Canis lupus familiaris: one gene and its partners. The protein of the gene in region 1 interacts with the protein of each later gene in a biochemical or structural test. Links are inferred from orthologs where the notes say so. Each region holds a gene or a part of one and is shown in the gene's direction. Other genes may lie near its edges. The genes, in order: SMAD4, COPS5, TFE3 and SKI.

Evidence for each region.
Region 2: the proteins of SMAD4 (region 1) and COPS5 form a complex in vitro, tested with the Homo sapiens proteins (2 studies listed by BioGRID). The link is inferred for Canis lupus familiaris from reciprocal best matches to the Homo sapiens genes SMAD4 and COPS5.
Region 3: the proteins of SMAD4 (region 1) and TFE3 form a complex in vitro, tested with the Homo sapiens proteins (2 studies listed by BioGRID). The link is inferred for Canis lupus familiaris from reciprocal best matches to the Homo sapiens genes SMAD4 and TFE3.
Region 4: the proteins of SMAD4 (region 1) and SKI form a complex in vitro, tested with the Homo sapiens proteins (3 studies listed by BioGRID and IntAct, with this or other methods). The link is inferred for Canis lupus familiaris from reciprocal best matches to the Homo sapiens genes SMAD4 and SKI.

Annotation. Positions count from the first base shown.
Region 1 is NC_049222.1:24,038,130-24,043,057, reverse strand, and holds the start of SMAD4 (mothers against decapentaplegic homolog 4), read left to right. Parts: upstream 1-1,918; 5' UTR 1,919-1,962; intron 1,963-3,975; exon of another isoform or gene 3,976-4,140; intron 4,141-4,928. Other genes in the region: ELAC1 (zinc phosphodiesterase ELAC protein 1), read left to right, coding at 272-520. UniProt on the Homo sapiens protein: In muscle physiology, plays a central role in the balance between atrophy and hypertrophy. When recruited by MSTN, promotes atrophy response via phosphorylated SMAD2/4.
Region 2 is NC_049250.1:17,045,319-17,050,328, reverse strand, and holds the start of COPS5 (COP9 signalosome complex subunit 5), read left to right. Parts: upstream 1-1,889; 5' UTR 1,890-1,908; intron 1,909-1,914; exon of another isoform or gene 1,915-1,999; 5' UTR 2,000-2,246; coding exon 2,247-2,389; exon of another isoform or gene 2,390-2,397; intron 2,398-4,598; coding exon 4,599-4,833; intron 4,834-5,010. UniProt on the Homo sapiens protein: Probable protease subunit of the COP9 signalosome complex (CSN), a complex involved in various cellular and developmental processes.
Region 3 is NC_049260.1:42,394,435-42,399,422, reverse strand, and holds the start of TFE3 (transcription factor E3), read left to right. Parts: upstream 1-1,781; 5' UTR 1,782-2,000; coding exon 2,001-2,116; intron 2,117-4,449; coding exon 4,450-4,563; intron 4,564-4,988. UniProt on the Homo sapiens protein: Transcription factor that acts as a master regulator of lysosomal biogenesis and immune response.
Region 4 is NC_049226.1:57,619,594-57,624,506, forward strand, and holds the start of SKI (ski oncogene), read left to right. Parts: upstream 1-1,544; 5' UTR 1,545-1,575; coding exon 1,576-2,544; intron 2,545-3,661; coding exon 3,662-3,715; intron 3,716-4,913. UniProt on the Homo sapiens protein: May play a role in terminal differentiation of skeletal muscle cells but not in the determination of cells to the myogenic lineage. Functions as a repressor of TGF-beta signaling.

The DNA of each region.
Region 1 (4,928 bases):
AAGGGTGTTGCTGTGGCGTAGGTGGGGCTGGAGCTCAGGCCCCGAGATAAAGACCTAAGCTGCGATCAAGAGTCAGACGCTCAGCCAGCTGAGCCACCCAGGTGCCGGAGAGCCATGTTACTTTTAACTCCGTCTGAGGTAGAAGTAGGAACTTAGGAGCCACCTGCTGCTCTGGTACCCGACCACCCAGTTAAACCTTCCTTCAGTTTTGCTGATAGCAAAGAACTGGGAACCACCTGACTCACAAAGAATTTATAACCCGTTCATTCAGGTCACTCGCTCTTTCATCAGACGCCAGTTTTTGAATTGTCCCTCTGAATTGTCCTGGGGGTTTTACATCTGGAGTCGGGGTGCCCGCGCGACTGGATTTCAGCTAAGGTCACCATCTCAGGGTTGTGGGGTCGAGCCCCGCATCGGGTCCCACACTCAACACGTCGTCCGCTTGGGCTTCTCTCTCTCTCTCTCCCTCTGCTTCCCCTCCCATCCCCACATTCCCTCTTACTCTAAAATAAAAAAGTAAATAAATACATCTTGAGTTGATGCACCTGCATGAGAATGTCACTTTATTCCGACAGATGGGAGAATGACAGTTTTGGAAGAGGATGCTCTGTCCTCAGGTGACTTCTCAAGCTGAGCCATTGTGTTAAGTAGTGCACTAGCAACGGGAGCTCTCTAAGTGAATTCCCTTAAAACTAGTCTTGGAAAGTCTTCCTGGACCCAGGAGCAGGGAACACGGGAGACGACGGCGGCGGGACACGCAGGAGTGCGGGTTGCCGTGGTGCGGGGGGGGGGGGCAGCTCGGGAACGGGCGGGATGCCGAGGGGATAGCAGGGGGGGACACCGTGGGGACAGCCAGGCAGGACAGCTTGGGAACGGGCGGGGACAGCGGGGCGAGGACAGCAGGGAGGGGACGGGGACGGGGGCGGGGACGGGGGTGGAGAGCAGGGACGGGGGGGCGGGGCGGGGGCGGGGCGGGGGCGGGGCCGGGACGCCGTGGGGACAGCGGGCGGGGCCGGCGCGGGGACGGGCGTACGGAGGGTCTGAGCGCTTCCTCGCCACTAGCTTGCGTCGGGCTCCCCACCCCCGGCAGGGGAAGTTTTTTCTAGGTGGTAAAAAATAAAACAAAAATTCGAAAGTATGCAACTCGTACGTGTTTTCTGAAACTTTTAAAAATAAAAGAAATGCGCGCATCTTGGAAAAGTTGAGATAAGTAGGTATGCACTGCGAAGCCGAGTTTCGCCCCACAGGTGGCCTCAACAGGTGCGCGGCAGGTCCTTGAGCGCCGCCCCCATCGCAGTGTCCCCCGAGCCCCGTCCACTGGCCTCCGTGACCCGCGGCCACACTCCCGCACGGGCTGCCGGTCCGCGCGCCGCGGAGCCGGGAGGGGGCCCGGCAGGTGTCCGCCCTCGGGGCCGCCCGCCGCCGGGCCGCGCATCGCGCCTGCGCCCCGCGCCTGCGCACAACCCCCCCGCCGGCGCTCCGCGGGGGGCGGGGCCGCGGGAGAGGGAGCTGCGGGGGCACGGGCCGAGGCCTGCAGTTACCCGGATGTGGTCGCCGTGCGCGCATGCTCCGTGGCCTCCCGACAAGTTGGCAGCAACAACACGGCCCTGGTCGTCGTCGCCGCTGCGCTAGCGGAGCGGCTCGGGTGGCGGGGCCCGCGTTGGCGCCCGCGCGCCGTCCTCGGGAGGCCTTGCCCGCCGGTCCTTCAGCGGCGCGGCCGCCCGGCGGCGGGAGCGGCTAGGGGAGCCGGGCGCCCCGCGACCGAGGGCCCCCCCCGCGGGGCGGCCCGGGAGCTCGAGGCGGCCGGCGGGCGGCGGCGGCGGCGGCGGCGAGGAGGGGCGGGGGCGCGGGGGGAGCGGTGGCCCGCGGACGGGCGGCGGCGGCGGCGGCGGCGGCGGCGGCGGCGGCGGCGGCGGCGGCGGCGGCGGCGGCGGCGGCGGCGGCGGCGGCGGCGGAGCCCAGGTAACGGCCCCGTGCCCTCCCCTTCCCCGGCCGGGCCCGCGCCCCCCCACCCCCGGGCTTCCCCGCCCCGGGGCGGGCTCGGGCGGCCGGTGCGTGCGTGTGCGCGTGCGCGTGCGTGTGCGCGGGGGGCGGGGCGGGGGCCGGGGGGCGGGGGGCCTCGCGCCTCGCGTCCCGGGCCCAGCGCCCCCGCGCCTCCGCGCCCCCGCGCCCGCCGCGGCTCCCCTGCCGTCGCCGTCGGTCTTTGTTGCTCCGAGGACTTGCGCCCGCCGCCCCCGCCGAGCGCGCCCGAAGTTTCCCGTCTCGGGGACACGTCGGTGCCGCCTTTGTCCTCCACTTTCCCTTCCTGCCGGGGCCGCTCCGGCGCTCGCCTCGGCCTGCGCTGGGCGCTCTCGCGGCTCGGGAGCGGGCGGGCGGCGGGGGGGAGCCCTCCCGCTGACCTGCGCGCGCCCCTCCCCCGCACCCCTCCATCCCTCCCCCCTCTCCTGATGAGCACCCGGCCGCCCCCCCAGCCTCCATCCCTCCACCTCTCCACCCCGCCCCTCCACTCCACCTCTCACCCCCCCATCCCTCCACCCCCCACCCTTCCACCCCTCCACCCCTCAATCCTTCCCCTAATCAGCTCCCGGCCGCCCCCCACCCCACCCCACCCCACCCCACCCCACCCCACTCCCAATGAAAACCCAAGGACCCAGTTTCTCCCGCTGCTGGGACTGCGAGCGCTGGGCGCGAGGCTCTAGGACGGAGGGCGGTGGCTCCATCACTTGCCCCCAAAACTGAGGTTATCATTTCTCAGGGAAGATTTTTCAAAGAAATGGGCGTGTTGGGTTAACTTGAAAGGTGGCTTTGGGGGCCTGGAGAGGTGTCCGACGGCTCTGCTGGTGGTGATGCGCAGCACCTCCCCCCCCCCCCCCCAAAGCCCTGGTGAAAGATTCTTTTTCACGAACACATTTTATTTCCGATGAATTCACTTTGGACCCAGTTCCTTGGTGCCTTTTGCGCTGTACTCTGAGGTGGGGCTGAGGGCCCTTCGGGGTCGTGGACGCGGCGCAGCGGGCTCCTGGGCATCTCCTGACCGCGAGCCAGGGTGCGGAGGAGCTGGGGTGCAGAGGCTCGGTAGGGGCCCCGACCTGCCGCAGGGAACACCCCTTTGAGTCCCTGCAGGGAGCACCCCCTTGGGTCCCTGCAGGGAGTGTCCTCTTGAGTCTCCACAGGGAGCACCCTAGTCTTCGCAGGGAGCACCCCCTTGAGTCCCCGCGAGGAGCACCTCCTTGAGTGTCCTCTTGAGTCCCCGTGGGGAGCGCCCCCTTGAGTCCCCGCAGGGAGCACCCCCTTGAGTCCCTGCAGGGAGTGTCCTCTTGAGTCTCCGTGGGGAGCACCCCCTTGAGTCCCCGCAAGGAGCACTCTAGTCTTTGCAGGGAGCACCCTAGTCTTCGCAGGGAGCACTCTAGTCTTCTCAGGGAGCGCCCCTTGAGTCTCAGCAGCAGTCTCTGTGGATCTTAAAAAAGTAGGTTGAGTAGTTTTTGTTGGAACAGACCGTGGAGTCTTAAGAGGAAATAAGGAAATCCACGCTTTGAAAAAGTAACGGGATTTAGGACGCAGCTGGGTGGGTGGGCCGCGGTGCCCGCGCCTGCCTTCCTGCACCTGCGCCGTGTTGCCCGCGAGCCTCTGAGCCTCCGAGGCGTGAGGACTTTTCCGTTAAGGACTTCTTATTTTTTCTTCTGAAAAGTTCTGATATGCCGAGTATGTGACATTTCAAGTTGTAAATGATGTGATTGACCTCTTAAAATATGACGTCCTGCTGCTGTTTCATGAGCTGTGACTTTGTTTCCCTAAACGGGTTTGTTACCAGAACCAACAGGACTCGCAGGGTTTTGGGGTCTAAAGGGGGTGATGAATTGTGTAGGTTTAAGTTGTCGGAATTAAACCTAAGAGCCTTTCTAGAGAAAATGGATAGAACCTTTCGTGGGTCTGTTAATAGAAGTGGCTTTTTCTTTGCTTTCCAGGTTTTTGGGTGAGGTTGCTTGAAGAGGCACTGCATCTTCTTAATTCTTTGATTTTCCGAGTAGGAGGGCCTGAGTGGAAGCTTCTCTGTTTAGCTGAGTGCCCGCCTTGTAAATCTCGAGCTTAGAAAAGAATTGCACGTCAGTTTGAGATTTGATGGAAATTTGGGCTGAGAAGGTGAATTTGAAATTTTTACATGGATCATTGGCCTTTTCTAATGGCTTTGCTGCTTGAAGCAATGCTGCTTACACTACGAAGCAGCAAATCTTCTAAAAACCTATGTATGTTTTATTCTGAGGCTACATTTTGGTTGAGCTGTTTATTTGTGTCTGAATTGTTTTTCTGCATTCCCCTTTAGACACCCCCCCCCCCCCATATTAAAGAGAAAAAAGCATTAAACTAATTTATGCTGCCCAGTCACACTCCAGCCCTCTGGCTTGGAAGCTGTTTTTTTCTGATTGAGCTGGTGTTATAACGTCATTAGACACTATCCTAATTGAGCTGTGAATTGCTGTGGCCTCTACTAGGGCTCTTAACCCTGCAGGATCTGTCCCGTTCATTTAAAACGCATTTTTAGTCCTGTCTAAAATTTTGCCTATTTTGTTGAGTACCTTTTTTTATGTTTAAAGTTATTTCAGTTCTATATTGTTCCCCTCTAGCTCATGCCTAACTTTTTCCCATCTTCCATCCAGTGATTTTGATAGTAAACAAGGCTTTAAACATCTTATGTTGGCCGTTTCGGTGCTCATTGTACATGTTTTGATTTCCTTTTTTTCTAGAAGATTGTGTGGTTAGGCAGAAATTTTTGTTTTGCTTAAGCGATGATGAAATGTTGACTCTGAATTGATGCTTAATCATGTGTAAAACTAACAACTAAAACAGTTCCGTTGATTTCATTATTTTCTACACTAAATGAAAGTTAAAGGACTTGGATCAGCGTAACACAGAATATAATATAACTGTTA
Region 2 (5,010 bases), on another chromosome or scaffold:
GACACCCCGCGCCCACCCCGGCCACACCCCGCCAGGCCCGCTTCCCTTCCGCGGCTGCCTAACGCTTACTCAGGAGAGCCGGCTTGCGCTGGGGACGACGCACAGAGCCCCAGGGAAGCTCTCCGCAGGCCGAAGAGGTGGCGACGGCCGCCCCGCACCGGAGCACCGTGACAAGCCGAGCGGCCCCGGCTCCGCCTCTTAAGCCGAGCCCTCCTCCCGCCCTTCCCAACGGCGAATGCGGCCCCGCCCCCACGACGGCCGCCGGGGTACCGTCGCGCAGTCGGAGCGCCCCCTCTCGCCCCGGAGGCCGCACAGCAGGCTCGCCTACACGTAGGCTGGGTGTATCTGGCCCTTTGCCTGGTGCCTCTGGTCTGTAGTGGGAGCTGTTAAACCATGAGAAATTCTTTCCAAGCTAAATCGATTCTAGCCCCTCTAGACCTTCCTAGCCGCATTGCTAGCCGCAGCCGCCGTGGAAAAAAAAAGATAGGGGTGACAGGGAAAAAATGTTTGCACACCTCCCCTGCGTATTTCTCCTCTTCCTGGAGTCTGGTCATCAATGTTTTGTCCTGGGGGTTTTTATTTTTTTTTTTAAAGATTTTATTTATTTATTCATGACAGACACAGAGAGAGAGGCAGAGACACAGGCAGAGGGAGAAGCAGGCTCCATGCAGGGAGCCCGACGTGGGACTCGATCCCGGGACTCCAGGATTACGCCCCAGGCCGAAGGCAGGCGCTAAATCACTGAGCCACCCAGGATTCCCCTTTTTATTACTAATTTCAACATGTTCGGTTCCCCCCAATACTGAACGGCCATGTGCCACACGAGAAAAGAGATCTCTAGCTTTCCAGCAGAGGGGAACTAAGAATCCTTTGTCCTAAGTTACTTTGTAAGAGGGTTTTAAAAACAAATTTTCTTCAAATGGAAGTTAATGTCGAAACTGCAGGCAGGGATGTGGATTCAATAATTCTAATGTTTTTAACTATTTGGCACGTACCGTACTAGGAGTGGAGGACACAACCCAGAGCCGCGTCCTGAACTCTTAAGCTTTTAGTGAAAAGAAAAAAATCCAAATAAATACATTATTACAATGCAACGTAACAGTTCTAGAAGCACCTACAGACGTTTAGAGACATCTAAAAGGAATCATTACTGGAGAGCGGAAAAAGTCAACATTTCATGGTAGAGATCCCTGAGCTGTTTTTGAAGATGAATTTGAGCTCCCAGGCAAAAAACAAGACAACACAACCGCCAGGGGAGAGTATTTCAAGCAAGGCTGACCACATATGCAAAGTTTCAGGATGATTAAAGATGAAGCAAGCAAGCAAATAAGTGAAATAATTAAACACTGCATTAACTGTTGGGGGAAAAAAAAAGTTGCTGAGATTAATTTGGCCTCGGGGATAGGAAGTGGTCTCACACCTTAAACGAATTGTTAAGAACTGGGTACTGATCTTTTCAAAACACTAAGAGCTCATACAGATGTTAATTTTTACAAACACGACAAAAGACCCTGTCGTAGCCTTCCACGAGTCTCCACAGCTTTCTTGAAATGCCGGAGAACTGCTCTCTTAAGAGACCCTTAGAGCCCAACCAAGGGTCCTTTGAACTTTACGCATGTGCAGTGACTCATCTGGAAGTAAACTGGGATGCCAGGTGTATCTTCGTCTCAACCAGCATCCAAAACTGCTTATGTCTCAAGTTTTTCACAGACATCCTTATTTTTGTAGGCTTTCAACAAACATTTTGTTTAAGGTACCCACACACCCACACGAAAACAGGTCTTTTTTTTTCCCCCAACACAGCCTAAAGAGCTAACCCACTTTTAATATGGCCGAGGCCGCGCCTGCGCAGTGCGAACAAAGAGGACCCGTTCGTTTCTGGCATAACGTTGCCGTGCCCTTCTTCCGGTGCGGAAGGCTATACCATTCTCACGCTCCGTCATTGTGTTTGTCCTAATGCGCGCATATAATTTTCTAAGATAATATGTTCTCGTTTCAGCCACAGGAGGATTCCTCTGTCTCTATTATGTAACCGCTGTTTGTATCGTGGCGTCCCGGAAGCGCTCCCGCCATCCCCGAATGGTCTGTACTGACTTCACCTCCGGTTCTGGGTGTCATGGCTGCCTCGAGAGATTAGTACGAGTTTGCACCTGTGGTGGGAAGGGTCCGAAGCCCACACCCAGGAACCTAGCCGAGTAAAGTTGCGTCTTGGTCGTGGAGGCGACAGCTTCTCGGATTCCACGGCGATGGCGGCGTCCGGGAGTGGTATGGCTCAGAAAACCTGGGAATTGGCCAACAACATGCAGGAAGCCCAGAGTATCGATGAAATCTACAAATACGACAAGAAACAGCAGCAAGAAATACTGGCGGCGAAGCCCTGGACTAAGGAGTGAGGAGGTCCCTGGCGAGACGCAGGGGATGGGAGGGGTGGCGGGAGTTTAGGACACCCAGGGGAGTGGGAGTTGCAGAGGGTGGGAAGCTAGTGTTTTCATGGACAGGGAGAAGAATATGCACCCGGGAAATTTGGGTCCACCTTTTTCTCCGCAAGTAGAGTCAAAGCCCTTCTCCTGGGTCTTGCTTCGATTCCCCTTCTTGTCTCTTTAACCCGTTTGCCTCCAGGGGATGTAAGGGTAAAGGACAAACGATTATAATTTCTCATTTCTCAATATCTATATTGTCATATATATGCCACACACTCTGCCTTAAGCCTTGTGTTGATATACACCTTGTTGAGACCTCTAGCTTATCTGAGACTGGAGACTGCACCCATCTTCAAAAGCCAAGTCAGCCCTGGCGTCTCTAACTATAAGCCATCTTTTAGACATTTATAAATCGATTGTTGATTGCTGGTAACTATTTCAGATACAAGGAGGCTCCACCCAGGCTCCCAAAACGTTAGTCCACCAGTTAACATGAACTAGAAATTTTATCAATAGAGTTTAAAGCTGTTTGCCCCTTAGCAAATGCCCTGTGTCTCTGGGAATGATGACAAGTGAAGGACTCTACCCACAGCATTTACCCTTAGTGTTAAGGGAGAGTAAAAAGAGCAGTCTTCAAATGGAGAGATAGAAAGGACAGCAGTGATCAACAACAAAACATTCTTCCATGTTTATCGAGTATTTAATATGGGCTGAGCACTGAGCTTAGGAATTTCTATAATATATTATTTAGTCTACATGACAACCCAGTACTGTATTTTCATTCCTTTTTTGGAAATAAGAAAATAAGCAAATACGAGTAACTTACTTCATGATCAGACTGAGGCAGTGAACTCTTAAGTGAATAATAGACTAAAATTCAAACCTCACAAGTGTCCCTAGTTCGTTGACTGGCCCTAGAAAATTTATGTATCTTCATTTTTTACCTGTAAAAAGAAAATTAGACCCACCCATTGGTGATTTCATAAAGATTAGATGAGATAATGCATTAAAAAGGGTCTACAATGTATGTAATAAGAGCACAATAACTTTTTTTTTCTTTTCCCCAGTGAATAAAGACCCAAGATTAATTCATGTCTTGACTCCCAAGACCAGGTCTCCATATTTTTCAGTTGTGATTGAAATCTGTGGGCAGACATCTTAAAAAGGCTTCTCAGGAAAGAAGAAGGAAAAAAAAGTAGGGGAGGGGGGCTTCTTAAACACATTGACCATATTATTAAAGACAGTTTGCTTAACTCTATAACAGGCTATGCATTTAAGGTTGCTATACTATAGACTACCAAATATTTGAAAACTATCCGTGTGCCTTATTGTCTGATTGCGGCTCTGATTATGTTCATCCCAGCGATCTTGAGCTGCATCAGTGAAACGGAAAATGTAATTTTATTCAAGAGTAGTTTAGTCACATATACATATGACAAACTTTTAAATAGTGATCAAAACAGAACTAAAGATATTAGAGCTACTTTTTTCATTTTGAGGCTGATAACACAGAAAGAAACAACACACTTTTTTGAGAGTACTATAAAAGATGGGTTAAGGCTAATAACAGCTAGCACTTAATATTAAGTTTTGGTATGTGTGAGGTAGTAAGATAAGCATTTATGTAAATTATTTCACTTTATTTCTTCCTAACAACAAATCTGTGACCTATTCCTATTTACAGATGAGGAAACTAAGGCGTGGGCATGCGGTGATTGTCTCTAGGCAACAGCTAGCATGGCAGGGCAAAGACTCAAACTTAATCAGATGGATGTCAGAGCCCACATTTGGATGTCAGGCCAGAAAGTTAGGCCTGAGAATCTTTAGGCACAACCATCCAACTAGACTCAGAATCAGAGATTTGGTGATTCCAAAATTAATGGAGAAAAAGTCTATTGAATTCTATGTAATTCCTTTCTACTTGAACAGCATATTTAAAACAGCATATTTTAAAAAACTATTTCATACTTTTCCCCTAAAGAAATACTTTGCAGGACCCAACATGTTTTTCATTTCCAGCCCCCTGCAAGAACTCTACTTCCCTTTTCTTTCCCACATTTCTACACTCTTTCCCCTTTCCCATCACTGTAAGTTCCTTCAATACTTGTTTTCTTTACAAAAACTATCTTTGAAATTGTGTTTTATATAAGTTAATTGTGCTGTACTTTTGTTTTGTAGTCACCATTATTTTAAGTACTGCAAAATCTCAGCATTGGCTCTACTGAAAATGGTGATGCATGCCAGATCAGGAGGCAACCTGGAAGTGATGGGCTTAATGCTGGGAAAGGTGGACGGTGAAACCATGATCATTATGGACAGTTTTGCTTTGCCTGTAGAGGGCACTGAAACCCGAGTAAATGCTCAGGCTGCTGCATATGAGTACATGGCTGCGTATATCGAAAACGCCAAACAGGTAAAAATGTTGCTTAAAGTTCAGTAATTCTAAGAGTCTCATGGAGACTCTTGAGTTTCTAAACTTAAACTATCCTCGTTACATAAGGTTTATATTTTATTTTCAACAGTGTCTATGTAAAATGTGTAAGAGGTTAGCATGGATATTTTTAAATAAATTCCCATACTCAAGAGAATA
Region 3 (4,988 bases), on another chromosome or scaffold:
CTTTTATAAAATTAGATACTTTCACATATTTAAGGCACCATAGGAATTTTAACATCAGGTCTATGAGTTCCATTTTGGAATTTTTATTGGTAAAGTGTTGATTTTTTTAAAAAGATTAATTTGGTGGAGTCACCTGGGTGGTGCAGTCAGCTAAACATCAGACTCTTGGTTTGGGCTCAGGTCATGATCTCAGAGTCCTGAGATCAAGGCCCAGGACCAGCTGAGACTCTTTCTCCCTCTCCCTCTGCCCCTCCTCCCTGGTGCGTTCTCTCTCTCTCTCTCTCTCTCTCCTCTCTCCCCCTGAAATAAATAAATAAATCTAAAAAGGGATTAATTTGGGAAAGAATTATCATCTTTTTTAAAAGATTTTATTCATTCATGAGAGACACAGAGAGAGAGAGAGAGAGAGAGAGAGAGAGGCAGAGACACAGACAGAGGGAGATGCAGGCTCCATGCAGGGAGCCCAATGTGGGACTTGATCCTGAGACTCCAGGATCATGCCCTGGGCCGAAGGCAGGCGCTAAACCGCTGACCCACCCAGGGATCCCAAGAATTATCTTCTTTATTGTGTGGATAATGGGGCTGCAAGGGCCTGTGGGGATGTGCATGTTTACCAAGCCAACTTCCTGTGTCAATACAGGACCGTGCAAGACAAATGAGACCTCATTGAAGTTCCCTGAGGTCCAACTGCTGGGCAGGGTTTTGGGATGTTAGAAGGAGGAAGGTAAGGTCGTAGGTCTAGGTTTTCTGTGAGCTGACTACGCACCTGAAGGTATGTGTGGGGGATCCTCTGCTGTGTGCAAGCTAGCTTGCATGTATCTGGCACACAGAGGAGTTCAATAAATATTTGTTGAATCAGTGCACAAATGTGTGAATCAAGTTTTGGAGAGCTTACTGTATGCCAAACCACCTGCTAGCACTTTTCATAAATTATCTCTAATCCTCATAATAACCCTGTCAGACAGGTATTATGAGGCACCCACCACCACCACCACCACCATTTGACAGGCCAGGAAAGCTGAAGCTCTGAGAGGGGCAATCCCTTCCTCAAATCCAAACCGGGTCTTCATGATTCTAGAAATCATTCACGGAAGGTACCAGATATAATTTCCATCCTTCCACTCATTCATCTATCTGTCAAGGATTTATTAAGCACTTACTACGTGAGCAGGACGACCTAGTACAACAAGTGCTCTGGGTGACACAGAGTAGGCGGAGTGCTCCCGGGAAGACCAGCTGGGCGGCTAGTTTGTGGGCGGGATTTTTGGTGCGCACCTCCAGGGAACCTAGCTGCCTAGGCCTGCTTTTGATTTTGGCTGAGACAGGGCTAGATGGAGGCTGCAGCGCAACATAGGGAGCTGATATTATAAACATTGGCCAAGAGGGGGCGCGGTTCTGCTGCTAGAAGAGCGGCCTGGAGACCCTCTGCGCTGACGGGCCATCGGAGCGCAGGCGCAGAGGACTCAAGGAGCGGCTTAAAAATCTTGCGGAGGGATCGTTTGCGAGGAGGGGGCGTGGCTTAATCAAAGCACTTCTCGCTGATTTGCCTCTGGCTCTGGGGGCGTGGCCTAAATGCGTCCTTCTCGGAACGAGGGCCGGCCGAATCTAGTTTTCCCTCCGCGTCGGAGGCGTAGCTTAGGGCGGGCCCTCGAGCCACCCCTCAATGATTGGCCGCCTCACTCAGAGGGGTGGCCCGGCGAGCCGTCCGTCCTCCGTGTGGTCACTTCCTGTGGAGTTTCCCCAGCTCAGGGAGGAGGGAGAAGAGGACGAGGGGGAGGAGGGCGGTCGTCCGGGGTTAGGTTGGGGGGTGTTGGTCTGTTCAGGGCGGGGGATGACTCACGGCCCATCCCATCGCCCCGACGCCGCCCGCCCGCGCAGAGCTCGCTCCATGGCTTAGCGGAGGAGGCGGTGGCGAGCGGGGGGAGGGGGACTCTTATTTTGTTAGGGGGACCGGGCCGAGGCCCGACCGGCCTGGCAGGGCTCGCCCGGGGCCGGGCGTCATGTCTCATGCAGCCGAGCCAGCTCGGGACGGCGTAGAGGCCAGCGCGGAAGGCCCTCGAGCCGTGTTCGTGCTGTTGGAGGAGCGCAGGCCAGCCGACTCGGCCCAGCTGCTCAGGTGCGGGGCTGCCTGGGGCCGGTAGTGCTGACTGGGGTTCTTGGGGGTCTGATCTGGGGGGACAACGGGAGCCCAGGACTGGGATTGGAGGCCCTCGGCCTAGGCTTGGAGGACGTCGGGGCGCCGGTCTTGGGGGGGAACCTAAGGAATCCGGCGGTGGCCTGCTTGGACTGAGGCTTAAAGAAGTCATGGAAGTGCATTAAGGGAGGGCTGGCTCCGATCTGAGGGTCTCTTGACTGGGTTTGTGGGGAAGATTCTGTTGTATCCAGAGCCTAGTCTAGGGTAACTGAACTTGGGGCACTGAGGCTGAATTTAGGGTCCTTGAGTCAGGCATGAGGGAGATGAATTTGAGGTTGTACTATGTAGGTGAGGCACTGATCAGAAGGACTTTTCCCCTCAGTGTCAGAGAAGGGGTCCTAGGAGACAGAAGTGCTGTCTTGGAAGCTGGGTGATTCCCAGTGGCCGGTTGCTTGAGGCTATGTTTGGGGATAACAGGAATCTGGAAGTATTTGGGGCTATCTCAGATATGTTACATGGGACCAGCTTTGTGTGTGTGAGTGAGGAAGAGAAACAACATTCATCAAGACCTGACCAGAATAATCACTTAATCCTTGCCCACCCACCCAGCTGGGTCAGATCCCAGGGATAGTGGAAAAGTCCTCTTCCCACAGCCCCATAGGGGCTTGAATGGGAGACAGTGAGGCAGACAGAAGCAAAAGAGATGGTGCTACTTCTTAGCTCAGAGAAGGCCTCAGACCTTATTTGGGAACCCAGAGGAGGGTCTTGTTCCTGCTGCCACCCATCCTAGCCTCTCAGCCAGCCAGGTTCTACCCCTGCGCGCATGCACACACGTGTACACGCACACCCGTGCGCGCGTGTATGCACGCGTATTCTTTTTCTCCCCCTCCCAGTCTGTCTGTCAGACCCTGGAAATACTCTCCAAGCTGTCTCTGGAGCTGGAATGAGCACCAATTGCACCATCCCTGCCTGGGTGGGTCCTCTGGGTCCTCTTTCCATCCTCACTTCCATCAGCCGACTTGTAAGCCCCAGCCCTCTCTCCACACCCTTTCCACCCCAGAGCCCATCTCTTCTAACTTCTGTGCAATGGGTGCATAAGCATGAGCTGGGGCTTTGCCTGCTTTCTTCCTGGGGTTGTGCTGAGCTCAGCGGCTCCCTGAGCTTCCTCTTCCCTACTTCCTGGGTGGTTTTAGGTCCCCATCTGAGGGTGAGGAAAGGAAGGAAGACACAGATCGTTGGGGAGGGAAGAGAGTTCTTGTCAAGCCAAGTGACCCATAGTCACTCAGGATTCAGTCTTTGACTCAATTCAGGATGCATATCCATCCACGTGTGTGTGAATGCCCCCAGCCTGGAGGGCTGAGCAGGAGCCTTTGCATCTAATGCTTCCCCATCTTCTGATGCCTTCATAACAACCTGGCTCATCACAGTAGTGGAAATAGTTGAAAGGGAGGGGTGTACATGGGTTCTTATTTCATGTCAATGGGTGTTGGTATTAGAGGTGTGTGTGTGTGTGTGTGTGTGTGTTGTTCCATCCAAAAAAACAGCTGAATGCTGGACAGGCTCCTCCCGCCAAGAAAAGAATGCTTGTATAAGCGGATCATCCACCCAAATTCTCCCTCTTTTAAATCCAATTTGCTGGAATAAGGGGAGCCCTTGATATTTCCATTTTGTATTTGGGTGTGTACAGGCATACCCTCAACTCTGGCTGGGGCGAGGTGGGGGGCAGGGTGGGGGGGCTAATTTGCAAAGTCGTGGATCCTTCCGTCAAGTGAATCATCGACCCCAGTTCTTTGTGATGCATTCAGTTTGTGTTACAATAGACTGCTGTGCTGAAGATTGCCCCTACCCTGCTATGTGTAGACAAATGGGGGCTCACATTCAGCTGCCAGGACCCCAGTAGGGGGTGTGGGGGCTGGAAGAACTCTGAATGCAAAGTCAGGACTCCTGCAAAGTGAATTGTCATTCCTGAATTCTTCATTTCTGTTTTCCCTCAAACCTAGGTTGTTAACATGATTATGTGAGAGTGAGGAGTTGGGATCTGGGCACTCTTACTATTTTGAATCCTAAGGGACTTTGGATAACAGAGCAAAAGAGAGTGGGGAGGGAAGAGGAGTATGGGCAGGGAAGATCTGGGAAGTCCTGGTGGTGGTACCCAGCAGGGTCACCTCCTGGGAGGGATGCACTCTGTGTTATCCCCTCCCACCCCTGTGTGTATCTCTCTCCTCCCACTGCCCACTTGTTCTTTCTCTCTTAGAGGGGAGTGCAGTCTCCATATACTTAACTGACCATCACCCTTACCTCCCTTCCACCCTCAGCCTCAACTCTTTGCTTCCGGAATCTGGGATCGTTGCTGACATCGAATTAGAAAGCGTTCTTGATCCTGACAGCTTCTACGAGCTCAAAAGCCAACCACTACCACTACGCTCAAGGTCTGTCTCTTCTGACTCCACTCCCAATTCCTCAGGCCCCTCCATTCCTTCCTGACGGGCAGAGGCCCTCAGTGACAGGCCAACTCTTCTGCCAGCCTACATTTTCCAGATAGTAAAGTGAGGGGCCAGAAAGAACATGTCAAACGAGAAAGCAGGTGGCCAAGCTGGGATTCCATTCTCTTGAACCAGAACTCCCCTGCCTCCCCCACCCAAAACCTGCATACCCATTCATCCACAAATATTGCAGGGAGCCTAGAATGCCCCAGAGAAGTAGGATGGCCTGCTAGTGTGCAGCCCCCAGGTGGGGAGAGCCATACCCATAACCTTTGCTTACCCCTTCCCCCACTCAACAGACTTACCCGCCCCCAACCCTTGAGGAACCCCTGCTGGTCTCTTTTTTTTTTTCCCCAAGCTTGGAAGTCTAA
Region 4 (4,913 bases), on another chromosome or scaffold:
TGCATCGTGTCTGCTTGCGCGGGGTGCTCCCGGGAGGGTCAGTCCTAACGCGTGGGAACCCACTGGCGTCCTCGTCCTTCCAGGAGGCCCGGGTCGCGCGCTATGTGGGGTCCCCGTCCTGCCGGATCCGCGAGGTGTGCGGTGGAGGCCGCGCAGGCCGCCGTCCTGCCCGCCCCTCCGCGGGTCTGCGGTTGTGGCGGGGGCCGCGTGTGGGTTTCTGGGCCCGGCAGCGGTGACGGCGGCGACGGCGGCGGCGGCAGCACGGGCGCCTTCCCAGCCGCGCAGGAAGCGGCCTCGGCCGGAAGGGGGGGCCCCGGGCGCCGCCACTGCCCCCGCCGAGCGCCCTTCCGGCGGGCGGGGCCGAGCAGCGCCGAGCGGGGCCGAGCGGCGCCGAGCGGGGCCGAGCGGGGCCGAGCGGGGCCGAGCGGCGCCGAGCGGGGCCGAGCGGGGCCGAGTCCCGGGCGGGCGGGGCCGAGCGGAGCCGAATCGCGGCCGAGCGGAGCCGAGTTCCTGGCGGGCCGGCCCGAAGGCGGCCGAGTCGGCCCGAGCCGCGGGCGGGGCGGCGGCGGGGGAGGGGGAAGCGCGCGTTCTTGGAAGAGCCAGGCCGGGAGGCGGTCGCATTCCTGGCCGGCGCTCGGCTGAGGCGGACGCGCGGCTCCAGACGGCGCGAGGGGCGGGGCGGCGGCGCGGGGCGGGGCGGGGCGGCGCGGGGCGGGGCGGCGGCGTGAGCTCAGCGCTCCGCGCTCAGTCCGAGCCGGAGCGAGCCGCCGGGAGGATGTGCGCCGAGCCCCGCGCCTCCGCCGCCGCCGCCGCCGCCGCCGCCGCCGCCGCTGCCGCCGCCGCCGCGCTCTGAGGGCCGCCGCCACAGGCGCTCCCGCCGCCCCGGAAGCCGCGCGCAGGCGGGCGGGCGGGCCGCGGAGCCGGGCGCCGGCGGCGGGGTGGGCGCGGGCCGGGCCGGGGCGGCCGGCGGCGGGCGCGACGCGGCCGGCCAGCGCCGCCGGGACGAGCCGGGCGGGCGCCGCGCGGTGGGAGGAGCGGGGCGGCGGCGGCGCGCCGCGCGAGGACGGCCCGGCGGGCCCCGCGCCCGCGCCCCCGCTCCTCCCGGGCCCCTCGGCCTCGGCCGCCGCGGCGATTCGCGCCTCGCGGCGCCGGCACCTGCCCGCGCGCCCCCCGCGAGCCCCGGGCCCGCGAGCGTTGGCGTTGGCGTTGGCGGCGCGCGCAGGGGCATGCCCCGCGCCTAGGGCCCGGGGGGCGCGCGGGGGGCGCGCGGGGGGCCCGGGCGGCGGCGGCGGCGGCGGGCGCGGCGCGGGGCGCGTGGATGTGGCGCCGGGCCCGGGCGCCGGCGGGCTCCAGCGGCGGGACCCCTTCGCCCCGCCCGCCTACCCCTTCGCGCCCCCGGGCGAGGCCGAGGCCTCGGCCGTGATCGGCCGGGAGCCGGCGGCGGCGGCGGCGGCGGCGGCGGGGGGGGGCCGGGGCCGGGGCCGGGGGCGCCGCCGGGGCTCGCGGGGCGGCGGCGGGGGCCGCGGGGGCCCCGGCGCGCGGGAGCGGGAGCGGCCCGGGGAGCCGGAGCGCACCATGGAGGCGGCGGCGGGCGGCCGCGGCGGCTTCCAGCCGCACCCGGGGCTGCAGAAGACGCTGGAGCAGTTCCACCTGAGCTCTATGAGCTCGCTGGGCGGCCCGGCCGCCTTCTCGGCGCGCTGGGCGCAGGAGGCCTACAAGAAGGAGAGCGCCAAGGAGGCCAGCGCGGCTGCCGTTCCGGCGCCGGTCCCCGCGGCCGCCGAGCCGCCGCCCGTGCTGCACCTGCCAGCCATCCAGCCGCCGCCGCCCGTGCTCCCCGGGCCCTTCTTCATGCCGTCCGACCGCTCCACTGAGCGCTGCGAGACCGTGCTGGAGGGCGAGACCATCTCGTGCTTCGTGGTGGGCGGCGAGAAGCGCCTGTGCCTGCCGCAGATCCTCAACTCGGTGCTGCGCGACTTCTCGCTGCAGCAGATCAACTCGGTGTGCGACGAGCTGCACATCTATTGCTCGCGCTGCACGGCGGACCAGTTGGAGATCCTCAAAGTCATGGGCATCCTGCCCTTCTCGGCGCCCTCGTGCGGGCTCATCACCAAGACGGACGCCGAGCGCCTGTGCAACGCGCTGCTATACGGCGGCGCCTACCCGCCGCCCTGCAAGAAGGAGCTGGCCGCCAGTCTGGCGCTGGGCCTGGAGCTCAGCGAGCGCAGCGTGCGTGTGTACCACGAGTGCTTCGGCAAGTGCAAGGGGCTGCTGGTGCCCGAGCTCTACAGCAGCCCGAGTGCCGCATGCATCCAGTGCCTCGACTGCCGCCTCATGTACCCCCCGCACAAGTTCGTCGTGCACTCGCACAAGGCGCTGGAGAACCGGACCTGCCACTGGGGATTCGACTCGGCCAACTGGCGGGCGTACATCCTGCTGAGCCAGGACTACACGGGCAAGGAGGAGCAGGCACGCCTTGGCCGCTGCCTGGACGACGTGAAGGAGAAGTTTGACTATGGCAACAAGTACAAGCGGCGGGTGCCCCGGGTGAGTGACCCTGCTGGCTGGGGCCATGGGAGGACGCTGGGTGCTCTGGGCCCCAGGGCCTGGAAGCTGGGAGGGCTGGGTCCTGGGGAAAGGCTGGGGGGCCCTCCTGGGCCAGGGGCTCTGTGTGTGCAGCTTGGGGCTTGTCTTGGGGTTTGGATTTGATTTAAGGAAGTTCAGGGTTGTGTTGGGTCCCTCCCTAGTCGTGGCTGTGTAGGAAGGTCCTTTTGCTCGACCCCTGTGATGAGCCAGCTTGCTTGGGACAGGGGCCCTAGGGGTTCGGCCTGGTGGCTGGAGAAGCATTCCCAAGGCCCACAGCCATTGCCCTGATGGGCTTAGGAATGGCGGGAGGCTCGGCTCCAATACTCAGACACTCTTGCCCCCAGAGAACTGAGAAGTGAGATCCGGGCGGGCCCAGGCTGCAGCCTCAGGCCTAGGCCTTCCTCGGGCCACTGTGAGGAGGGGTGCAGACCCGGTGGGCCCCTAGGCTCGCACACAGAAGGGTGCCTGCCAGTGGTCCTCAGCAGACAGAACTGGGCCTGGCAGGGCCGGTTTGTGCCTTGAAGTCTTGGGAGACAGGCTCAGAAATGCAGCCAGGTGTCCAGGCCACAGTGGCAGGGGGCCGAGACTCGGTGACTCCAGTTCTGTGCGTTTCCCTGGGCCTGCCAGGGTGTGAATCCCAGAGTCCCCCATGTGGGGGCAAGGGCTGATTGGCCCTGGGCTTGGGGCCTGGTCAGCGGGCACCTGGGCCCTGAGTAGGAGTAGCTCGTGGCCTGCGATTTGTTTTGGACACGCCCGTTTCCTTGTCTCCCTCTCTCTCAAATGCTGCAGGGCGGGGGAGGGCCACTGGCCGAGGCTCTGTTGTTTGCCAGGCGGAGGATGTGATCCGTGTGATCTGGCTGGGCAGCTCCTGGGCGACTGGACGGTGAAACCTCTCATTGGGGTCTTCACCAACTTCTCGGTGTCTTCCCCTCCCCAAGTATTTGTAACTTTTCTTTTAAATATCCAGGCTTATTAAATTGCATACACAGAATGCTGCATTGGCTCAGCTATTCTGAGGAGGCCTAATTAATTCAACTACTGCATCAAACTTTTTTTTTTTTTCTAAATCTGTGAATAGATGCTCCCGCCCGGTTTTCTCTGGGCGCCCCTCCAGCGGAGTGTCAGAGTCTCGGTGAGCAGAGGAGGGGCTGGGGATGGAGGGGCTGGGTGCCTGTGCTCAGAGGGGCTGTCGTGTGCGCGCGTGCACGTGTGTTCCATGGCATTTCTGCCCTCAGCTTTGCCGCTGCCCAGGTGGCAGCTGTCTGCAGACTGGGGCAGGGCTTGGGTGGGAGGGAGTGTCTGAGTAGGGGAGGGTATTGGCAGGAAAGGCCCAAGCCTTTGATTTTGGATGAGTTGGTGATGGGTGGCGTGATGGGCACCCGACGTGAATGGGGACTTTTCTGTTCGGGGTGCCTCTACCTACCACAGCCACTGTGGCTTGTGGGAGTCTTGTGTGCAGGATTGTGGTAGGCACAGGCTGCAGTTCCTGGCCCAGGCCATGGCAGGCCATTTGCCTCCAGAGGGGGTGGGGTGGGGGGCCTTGTCTGGCAGGGTGTGTTCGTATGGGTGTCCCAGTCAGGGGTGTGAGGGGCAGTGGTGGAGTCTCCTGGGCTCGCTGGGACTGCTTCTTTGTCACAGCTGTAGAGTGGGGCCGTGGTTCTGGGCGCGGCCCCCCCCCCACCCCCCTGCCCGCCCGCCCCTCTTAGGGACGGCCCAGCCTGAGCTCTCAGGCCCAAACAGCGTCTGGGGAGAAGGCAGGATTGTTTGCCCACACTCCGTGAAGCCGAAGCCAGAGCCTGTTTCTGCTCTGGCCTTTTCAGCAGATGATTAGGGCCGCCCTTTCTCTGTCAGTGCGCTCTCCCTGATGCTGTCCTAAATCTCATTTACCGATTAAACAAATTTTCCCAGTGATGAGGAAGAGCTGCTTATCGTAAGTGGGTGGGGTCTGCAGGCCTAGTGTCAGCCAGCCCTGTCCTCGCCGTGGTGACCTGGACTGGCTGTCAGGCCCCATGCTTCCCTGAGGTCTCGAGTGCTCTCCTGCTGGCTCTGCCACCTCGTGTCCTGTGTACGGGGCTCCGCCTGCTGCCTTGGCTCTGACCACGCAGTTGGGAGTCCTGGGGTGCTCCGGCCGTCCTCTTTATAAGTCTCCAAGCACAGCCACATGCTCATCTGTCTACCTGCCAAGGGCACCACGTGAGAACGGTGTCAGCTTGGGGTGGGAGGGCCCCTGGCTGCCCAGAGCCCACTTGCTCCAGACCCTGCCCCCGAACCTCTCCCCCAGAGCCCTATTTCTGATTGCTCCTTCCACTTGCTATTGACGGCATATTTGT